2 linked regions of the Tribolium castaneum genome follow. The protein of the gene in region 1 interacts with the protein of each later gene in a biochemical or structural test. Links are inferred from orthologs where the notes say so. Each region holds a gene or a part of one and is shown in the gene's direction. Other genes may lie near its edges. The genes, in order: Abcd3 and Pex19.

Region 1 (4,479 bases):
GGCATTTAAATTATATGAAACACCCTGTATAATTGCGTTTCTGGATAAAAAAATTGCTAATACTCCACAAACGTCAAAAACAATGGGCTTTTTGACCATATTTAATTATTTCTGCAACAACTTTACGTGACAACACCAATCTCTTAAAAATAACTGTCACAAGTGTAAAATTGTCTTAAGACAAAAATAATGTATGTGTGAGTAATTTAGCAATTTTTCAAAAACATGATTAAATTTTGTTGATTTATTTGTACTGTTCAGTTTGTCTTGAAACTTGAAAAAAAACACGGAGCTACCGTTTATCCAAAAATATTAAGAGCGGATTATACATACTTGAACCACCTCCTTCTTTTTGTGAACTTCCCCCTTTGGAAGCGGTACATATTCCTCAGCTTCTAGATCAAACTCAGTCGCATATCCATCAGATCTGCCTTGACGCTTAACAGCCCCACTATTGGCTTCAATATAAATAACGTCACCTACTTCGACTTTTTCCTTCTGAAGGGCTTCATAAATACTGGGGTCGAGTTTCAGTTGTTTGCTACCTTTTGCAGTTTTCAGGCCAATAATTACATGACTTACTGTCTTTCCATACCCTACAAAACCAAAAGAAATATATAGAACATTGTCAAAGTGTCTAAAAACTAAAACCTCCAGCAGGATTCTCCGTTTCAACAGGAGTCAATTCAGTAACTTCCCCCTCATAAACCTCCTTAGTCTCCCTAATGCGCAGCCCTATGGCCCTCCGGAAATTCTCCATCAACACCTCCGTCTTCTTAATCTCAGAACTGTAAACCTCGGACCCCACCATGGGGCAAAAGGGCACCTTATTACCCAGTTCTTGCGCGATGGCCAAAGCTATCGCAGTTTTACCGGTCCCAGGGGGACCCGCTAGAAGCACAGCCCGTCCGGCCATTTTCTTACTCCTAATCATATCCACCACAATCCCTGCGGCCTGAAACCACTGAATTTAGCCGAACTCTGATTAAAAAAGACAAACCTAACCTCCCTAGCCTGTTCTTGGCCGACCAAGCCGGCCGCTGTTGGCAACGCGAAACCATTCTCATCTAACCCTAAACCTTTAATGTGGCTGTGGGCACTTATTCGTTGCGTTTTCACCGTACTTTTCACTTCTTCAATCTTCATTTTTGGAAAACACGCTAACCAAACTTTGCTTGATCAATTTGAGTTTTATTGTTGTGATGTTGGTATGGCAACAACCGGTTGGAGAATTTTGGAGCGTTGGGGTGGTCATAGTGACCATTTCAAATTCATTTTTGATTAAAAAATCGTTTTTAATATTCTGTTCGAACTCAGCAGTCACAAAGTGATTTTTGAAATGTTTCATTATAATACTATGACCTAGTCAAATTTTAAAGAAATTGCGAATTTAATTTTACATTGATCGAGTCACCTGAGACACCTGAGAAATGGCATGTCAGCTCAACATGACAGAACGGCCATTTGTCAATTATCACAAAATGGAAAACTTTCTAATTTTCCTTTAATGAATCCTTTCGATTTTAACGATCGGTTAATGCATTCCACAGGTGAGTATTTGGCGTGTTTGTTGTCTCTTTCTCAAATTGCGGCTGTCCCTGTCTTGCAGGTTCGGCCAAAATCATGTGATCGGTCGAAGCTCCAATGACAGTCGCTGACTGGAGCTCAGTAAAATCAGTAAAATACTTGGTAAAGTCTGCTTAAACGTTAGGTGTCAGTGTTTGTGGATGAGTGAGTGGAAACAAATACAATTGATCGGAAAACTGCTTGGTCACGATCACTCAATACTTCTTGTGAAAAGTGCGAAAAGATGAAGTAAAATGGCACCCAGTTTTAGCAAATATGTGACAAGAAACAATGCTCTTGCAGCCGCTGGAGCATCGACAGCTTTATTATGGATTTTAATATCACGACGAAGAAAAAATTTGTACAAACTGGACAGGTATGAAAATTGACCCCACTTCGAGACTTGTTTGACTCCGGTTTTGTTCTAGGAGAAAAGTCAGGAAAACCGTGGATGAAGAAGTGAAATATTTTATATCTGAGAAGAAAGAAAATAGGATTAAGGCGCAAGTTGATAGGCAATTTCTTAAGCAACTTAATCACCTACTTAGAATAATTATCCCAGGATGGACTTCACCTGAGGCGGGATTTCTATTCCTTGTAGCTGCGAGTTTAGTGGCTAGATCTGTGTGTGATTTATGGATGATAGATAATGGAACGAAAATAGAAAGGTAAATCGAACAATGAGTTGTTGGTTACTTCAGTTAAGGAAGCTTAGAGGTTATGTAATTGCATTCCGAATCTGAACTTTATGTGATTAAGTAAAGGCGTCAAATATTTATGCCGTCTTAGCCAACGGTTTTGGTAGAAATATTTTTGCTTTTTTACCGTGTTATCATCGTGACTGGATATTTGTATAAAGTCACCGATTTAATTAAAATTCATTAACCTTGAGGGGTTCATTATCTGTCTGAATCTAAAGAGGAAAAATACCACCAATATTTTACCGTTGTGATATTGCTGTTGACACAGCTTTCACCCTACAGTTGGTATTTTTTTAATAACACGTGTTTCATAAATTGCTTCGCATTGCCATTATGTAATATTTTGTTTCCTTGTATTGGATATCTGTATACAGACCTGGATTATTCATTGCGATTTTTTATGGTAAACATACGTAGAGAGTTGCTAAGCTCTGAATGACGTAAATGTATGCATTGTGCATCGTTTTTAATGAGAATTGTGCTCATTTGCTGATGGAAATTTTATTATTTTAATGAACTATGTACTTACCTTTCTCTCAAAACAATCAAGATTAGAGATTTTGTTTAATTACGTTACGGCAAACGTGTCTTATTGACAATTTCTAAGTTTTGAAAAAAAGTACAGACGGATTTAATATTAGCGAATAAATTAGAAATTATCATTGTGTTGATAGCAACAACATAAAAAAGTTGTGATAGCGTATTGTTTACAATGAATTAACAGTTTTGGGGAGTAAAAATTATTACATCGAAATAAATTATATTTTGTCCTAATCGTTACAGAACTAAAACATTAAAATACGTGTCATGTAATTGTAAACTGAGTTTGTTGTTTTTTTTATAAATCATTTACATGAAAATTGTTACTTAATGAATGAGAACTTTACAAATGTGCGTTTAAAAATGACTTCAGATAATTACTAATTAGATAGGTATATTATTTAGGAGGTTGTAGTTAAATTCTGCTCAAAAAAGTACGAATGAAATGTTAAATTTTTAATTTAATGAGTGCAGAAAACCATACGAGTTTTACAAGGACACATTGTCTAACAAGTTGATTACATTTTTTTATAATGGAACAAAATTAATGAATCTCATGGACTTTGAACCATGAAGAAAAGAATTACTATTATTATTTTCGATTTTAAAAGACAGGTATTGTAAGAGTACTAAAGTACGTGTATCTATTAGGTATTTTATTTCGACACTTTTAACATTTAACATGAGACTTAATGAAAATTAAATACATAGTACTTTATTAGTTGTAAATTTTCGTAAATTTCGGTGTGTAAGTATTTGTAAAATTTTGCAAAATAGATTACTTTTCTGTTCCAAAATAGTTCTCACATTTAGTAAGATGCACGAGATATACGCCTATTATTTACTCGTTTCTTACAGTACAGTTTCTAAACTACATATTTTTGTTAGCTACCTGCTTTAGTACGAAATGCGGTTGACGAAGAAAAACAACTATATGGTGCTTCTTAAATTTATTAAAAAATTGTTATGCAAATACACACAAAAACTGTATGCAATATCAATTATTACTACCACAACAAACGAATTTCTTGTTTAAAAATTGACACCAGCCCACCTGCAACTGATTCTCAGCCTACGAATGTGGCATTTATCATGGATAACCCTTTTCGGGGGCGATTAATGATTATGGATGATTGTTTAAATTACTGCTTGTTTAATACATATTCAGAACATTTTCCATTTTATAGTAATACTACCAGGTGAGCAATCTTATCGACCACCTAAGAAAGTCGAGATTTCTAGTTAAATAAAAAAAATATTGTATTTTACACGCCTGATTGTAAGGTATCGCCCCTAATTTTTTGGTAATTTTTCACTTACAGATAAAGATAGTAATTAAAAAAAAAGTAATTTTTGACCAAAAAGTTAAATTCTGAATTTTATACTAAACCACGCGTATTTTATAAGGTTGCCTCACCCAGTATGTAAATTGCAATAAAAAAAATTTGATATTGAGTTCTATTGGAATGTGAACGTTTAAATAAAAATAACTAACTAAAAATTGTTATCTTGGCTAGAGAAGAGATCCGGAACAACTTTATAAAGTTTTAAACAGATTGATCTGGATTAATAAGTCCCTTTTTGAAATCGTCACAAAAATCATCGTTATCGATATGAAATCCCGTCTATTAAGTTTCACGATATCGATGAATTTCGTCTGTACACAACATTT
Region 2 (3,369 bases), on another chromosome or scaffold:
GTGTCAATGTATACCGTTTCTTATACCACTCAGTAACAGCAGCAATGTGTGCACGTTGGCCGACGTTGCGTGTCTTAACAGATATAAAGGTGCTTAAGCCATTACATACAGGGTGTCTCAGCAAGACTTAATATCTCAGATATTTGTCAACGGATTTTTATGAAATTTAAAAAGCAGATATTTTAGAAGATAAAGATTAAAATCCAATTAATGCAAAAACTCAAGTCTTAAAAACGTAATTTTTACATGCCTTTTTAAAATGCTAAGCCTTTTAAGACTTATATTAAAAAAATTATCGTTAGTGAAAAATGCTGAAAGAAAAAACTCGTTCGTGGAAGACGTCTGTTTTGCGAGAAAAATGAGAAGCAAACTGTTAAACGTGGGTACGGATGCAAAAAAGAAATGTGTTTTAAAATTTAATTTTTTAGTTGAGGTCATTTTTTTGCCCCTAAAATATGTGCATTCTAAATTTCATAAAAATCCGTTGACAAATATCTGAGATATCAGGCTCGAAAGTCTTAGCTGAGACACCCTGTATACTTTTTTATGAATGGTTTTATAGAGAAGTGGACTTCGCTCTTTCCGGACGACCTTGAGCCAGGCCCGTATTTGCAAAAAGAGCGCCAAGATTCGCTACGTTGCGATAATAAATGTTACTCGTCATGTGCTGAAACGGTGTACGAGGCCCATGCCAATTCTTTCCCAATTTTGAAGTTTGGCAAAATTATTTAAAAAAAAACTTTTTTTTTATTTCTAAGTTTCAGTAAAACGGACAACAACGTTACTCGAATTTTTGTGTATTATTCGGGCAGGTTTTCAAAGTTGTACCTTCAAGACGTTGTCTATTACTGGTTCGAAGTTTTGAGTAATTGATAATTTATTATAGTGTGAAATTTTCTTCTAATTAGCAATTCCAGGCAATTTTGGCGGCATTTTTGGAATATTTGTTGGTTGGAGTTTGATATTTATTATACAATTGTCGGCCTATTACACGCGAAAAATCCTAGAGAAAGTACTTAAAACGTAACCAAATCATTTTTTGTGGAACGTTGGATGGACTTTACTTTATTTTAGAGTGATGACATTGATTTTAAACACTTAGATACGAAAAGTAGTAAGAAAGCCTTTTCAGAATACTTTGATTTTTTGCCCTGTTTTTAAAGTATATTTAAAAATTAATATTTTTTCAAAGATTTCGCCCTGTTTTTATATTGAGCACAAAAATGAATAAGGTTTCATCTGAGCCAGTGGCGGAACTAGGGGTGGGCTCATGAGGGTCCATATTTAGTTTCATTTTGTCTGCTTTTTGCTGTTGGATCTCAACCCACTCTTTTATTATTTATAAAATATATATTTAAATAATAATTTAAAATGTAAATAATAAATATAATAAATGATAATAAATAATAATAAATAATAAATAATAAATTAAATATAATTATGATATATTTGCTATTTATACTAACGGAATTAATCTTTTCGGACGTTACATAATTTAACGTAAATCCTTTTATTCTACAAACATTACCTGTATTACTCTTATAACAATAACAAATGCGTCTTAAAGAGTGTGAAGCGAAAAAATAAATTTTTATTTTCAAATTGCCCATATTTTTCTGTCAAAAACGGCAAGGTACCAACCACACAACAACAAATTATAACGAAAAACGTGGTGGTACACCCTTTTGTAGAAACCTGTAATTGATAGTTGAAGGGAATAGCGACAGGTGGCCTAAAAATCCCCAAATCACCTGACATTTCCCTAACCTCACTTTTGTAACAAATTCTTAAAGCTTCCCGTTTTATACCAATTTTACAATGAGCGAGTCAAAAAAGCCCGATTCGGCCTCAAAAGTGGACGCCGAGTTGTCCGAGCTCTTGGACAGTGAGTCCCGTGGTGTAAAATTCGTTGCGTAACTCCCTCATTTCAAGGTGCTTTGGAAGACTTCAAAAGCGAGCCGCCCAAAGACAGCAAACCTGCGCCCCCACAGGACGAAATCCCGGACGTTGAGTGGTCGGACGATTTTATCCGACAAGCCGCAGCTCAATTCGAGTCAAACTTTGCCAATTTGCTTGGCTCAAACCCTGACGGGTCCCAGTTAACCCCCGAGCAAATCCAGGCCAAGTTCCAGCAAATGGCAGAGACGGCGCAACAAGTCATCGAAAATCCGAGCGGAGACTCGGGTGATTTCGCAGCCACGATATCACAGACGCTCCAGGGGCTGAGTCAGGGGGCTGAGGGGCTCCAGAACCCCAATTTGGAGCAGGATATTATGAACTTGTTTGCGGGACAGGGGGACCAAAACGCCTTTATGCCTTTCATGCAAGGGATGATGCAGAGTTTGCTGTCCAAGGACGTGCTCTATCCGAGTCTCAAGGACATTTTAGACAAGTTCCCGGAGTGGTTGAGCAAAAATAAGGACAAGTTGAGTCAAGAAGACGCAGAAAGATACGAAAAACAACAGAAATTGATGGAGGAGATCTGTGCCGAGTTAGAGAAGGAGAAAGAGAGTGATAGTAGTGAGCAAAAGAAGGAGAGGTTTGACAAGGTCTTGAGTTTGATGCAAAAGGTGCGTTTTTTGTTTAATGTTGTTCCAAGAATGATTTTTCTCGAATTAGTTGCAAGATTACGGACAACCCCCGACCGATCTAGTGGGCGACGTGGGGCCCCCTTTGCCCCTCGAAATGCAAAACAACGCCGACCCCAATCAGTGCAATGTAATGTAATTGGTGAAAACACTGTTGTTTGTTATTTATTATTTAAATAAATTGTTTGGGAAAAAACCGCCATTTTGTTCACCCAATACCAACCACACAAACTCAAAATCACTAGTTTATTACAATAATTTACAACAAAGTTCGGGAAAATCAAGCGTCGGAGAGGGCGGCCACCCCTGGTAGGACCTTGCCCTCCAGTAGCTCCAAACTGGCGCCCCCGCCCGTCGAAACGTGCGAAACCTTATCCTCAGTCTTCCATTTTGCGGCACAAGTGGCCGTGTCACCGCCACCTAGAACACCAAATTTGACAAAAACCGCCCACAAAAGTGATTTAATTACCAATAATCGTGACACAGCCCCTTTGAGTCGCCGCCACGACTTCATCCATTATGGCTTTGGTCCCTTTTGCAAAATTTTCAAACTCGAAAACACCGGCTGGCCTAGAACCCATAGTTGGCCACGGTTGCTAAAGTCAGTCGTACCAACTTACCCGTTCCACACTATCACTTTGGCCCTCTGAATGGGGGCTTTGAACGCTTCGATCGACTTCGGCCCGATGTCCAGCCCCATCCAGCCGTCGGGGATCCCCGCCTCGAGAGTGGCAGCCCCCACTTGCGCCTTCTCGTCGAATTTGTCCGCCGTGACGAAATC

Evidence for each region.
Region 2: the proteins of Abcd3 (region 1) and Pex19 form a complex in vitro, tested with the Homo sapiens proteins (4 studies listed by BioGRID and IntAct, with this or other methods). The link is inferred for Tribolium castaneum from reciprocal best matches to the Homo sapiens genes ABCD3 and PEX19.

What each region holds. Positions count from the first base shown.
Region 1 is NC_087395.1:13,833,323-13,837,801, forward strand, and holds the start of Abcd3 (ATP-binding cassette sub-family D member 3), read left to right. Parts: upstream 1-1,642; 5' UTR 1,643-1,820; coding exon 1,821-1,942; intron 1,943-1,994; coding exon 1,995-2,234; intron 2,235-4,479. Other genes in the region: pont (ruvB-like helicase 1), read right to left, coding at 334-596, 652-955, 1,006-1,146. UniProt on the Homo sapiens protein: Broad substrate specificity ATP-dependent transporter of the ATP-binding cassette (ABC) family that catalyzes the transport of long-chain fatty acids (LCFA)-CoA, dicarboxylic acids-CoA, long-branched-chain fatty acids-CoA and bile acids from the cytosol to the peroxisome lumen for beta-oxydation.
Region 2 is NC_087401.1:15,465,428-15,468,796, forward strand, and holds Pex19 (peroxisomal biogenesis factor 19), read left to right. Parts: upstream 1-1,715; 5' UTR 1,716-1,818; coding exon 1,819-1,885; intron 1,886-1,932; coding exon 1,933-2,570; intron 2,571-2,619; coding exon 2,620-2,727; 3' UTR 2,728-2,786; downstream 2,787-3,369. Other genes in the region: pickpocket protein 19, read left to right, coding at 1-89, 563-713, 765-865, 918-1,023, 1,075-1,102; Pgk (phosphoglycerate kinase), read right to left, coding at 2,869-3,008, 3,058-3,158, 3,209-3,369. UniProt on the Homo sapiens protein: Necessary for early peroxisomal biogenesis. Acts both as a cytosolic chaperone and as an import receptor for peroxisomal membrane proteins (PMPs).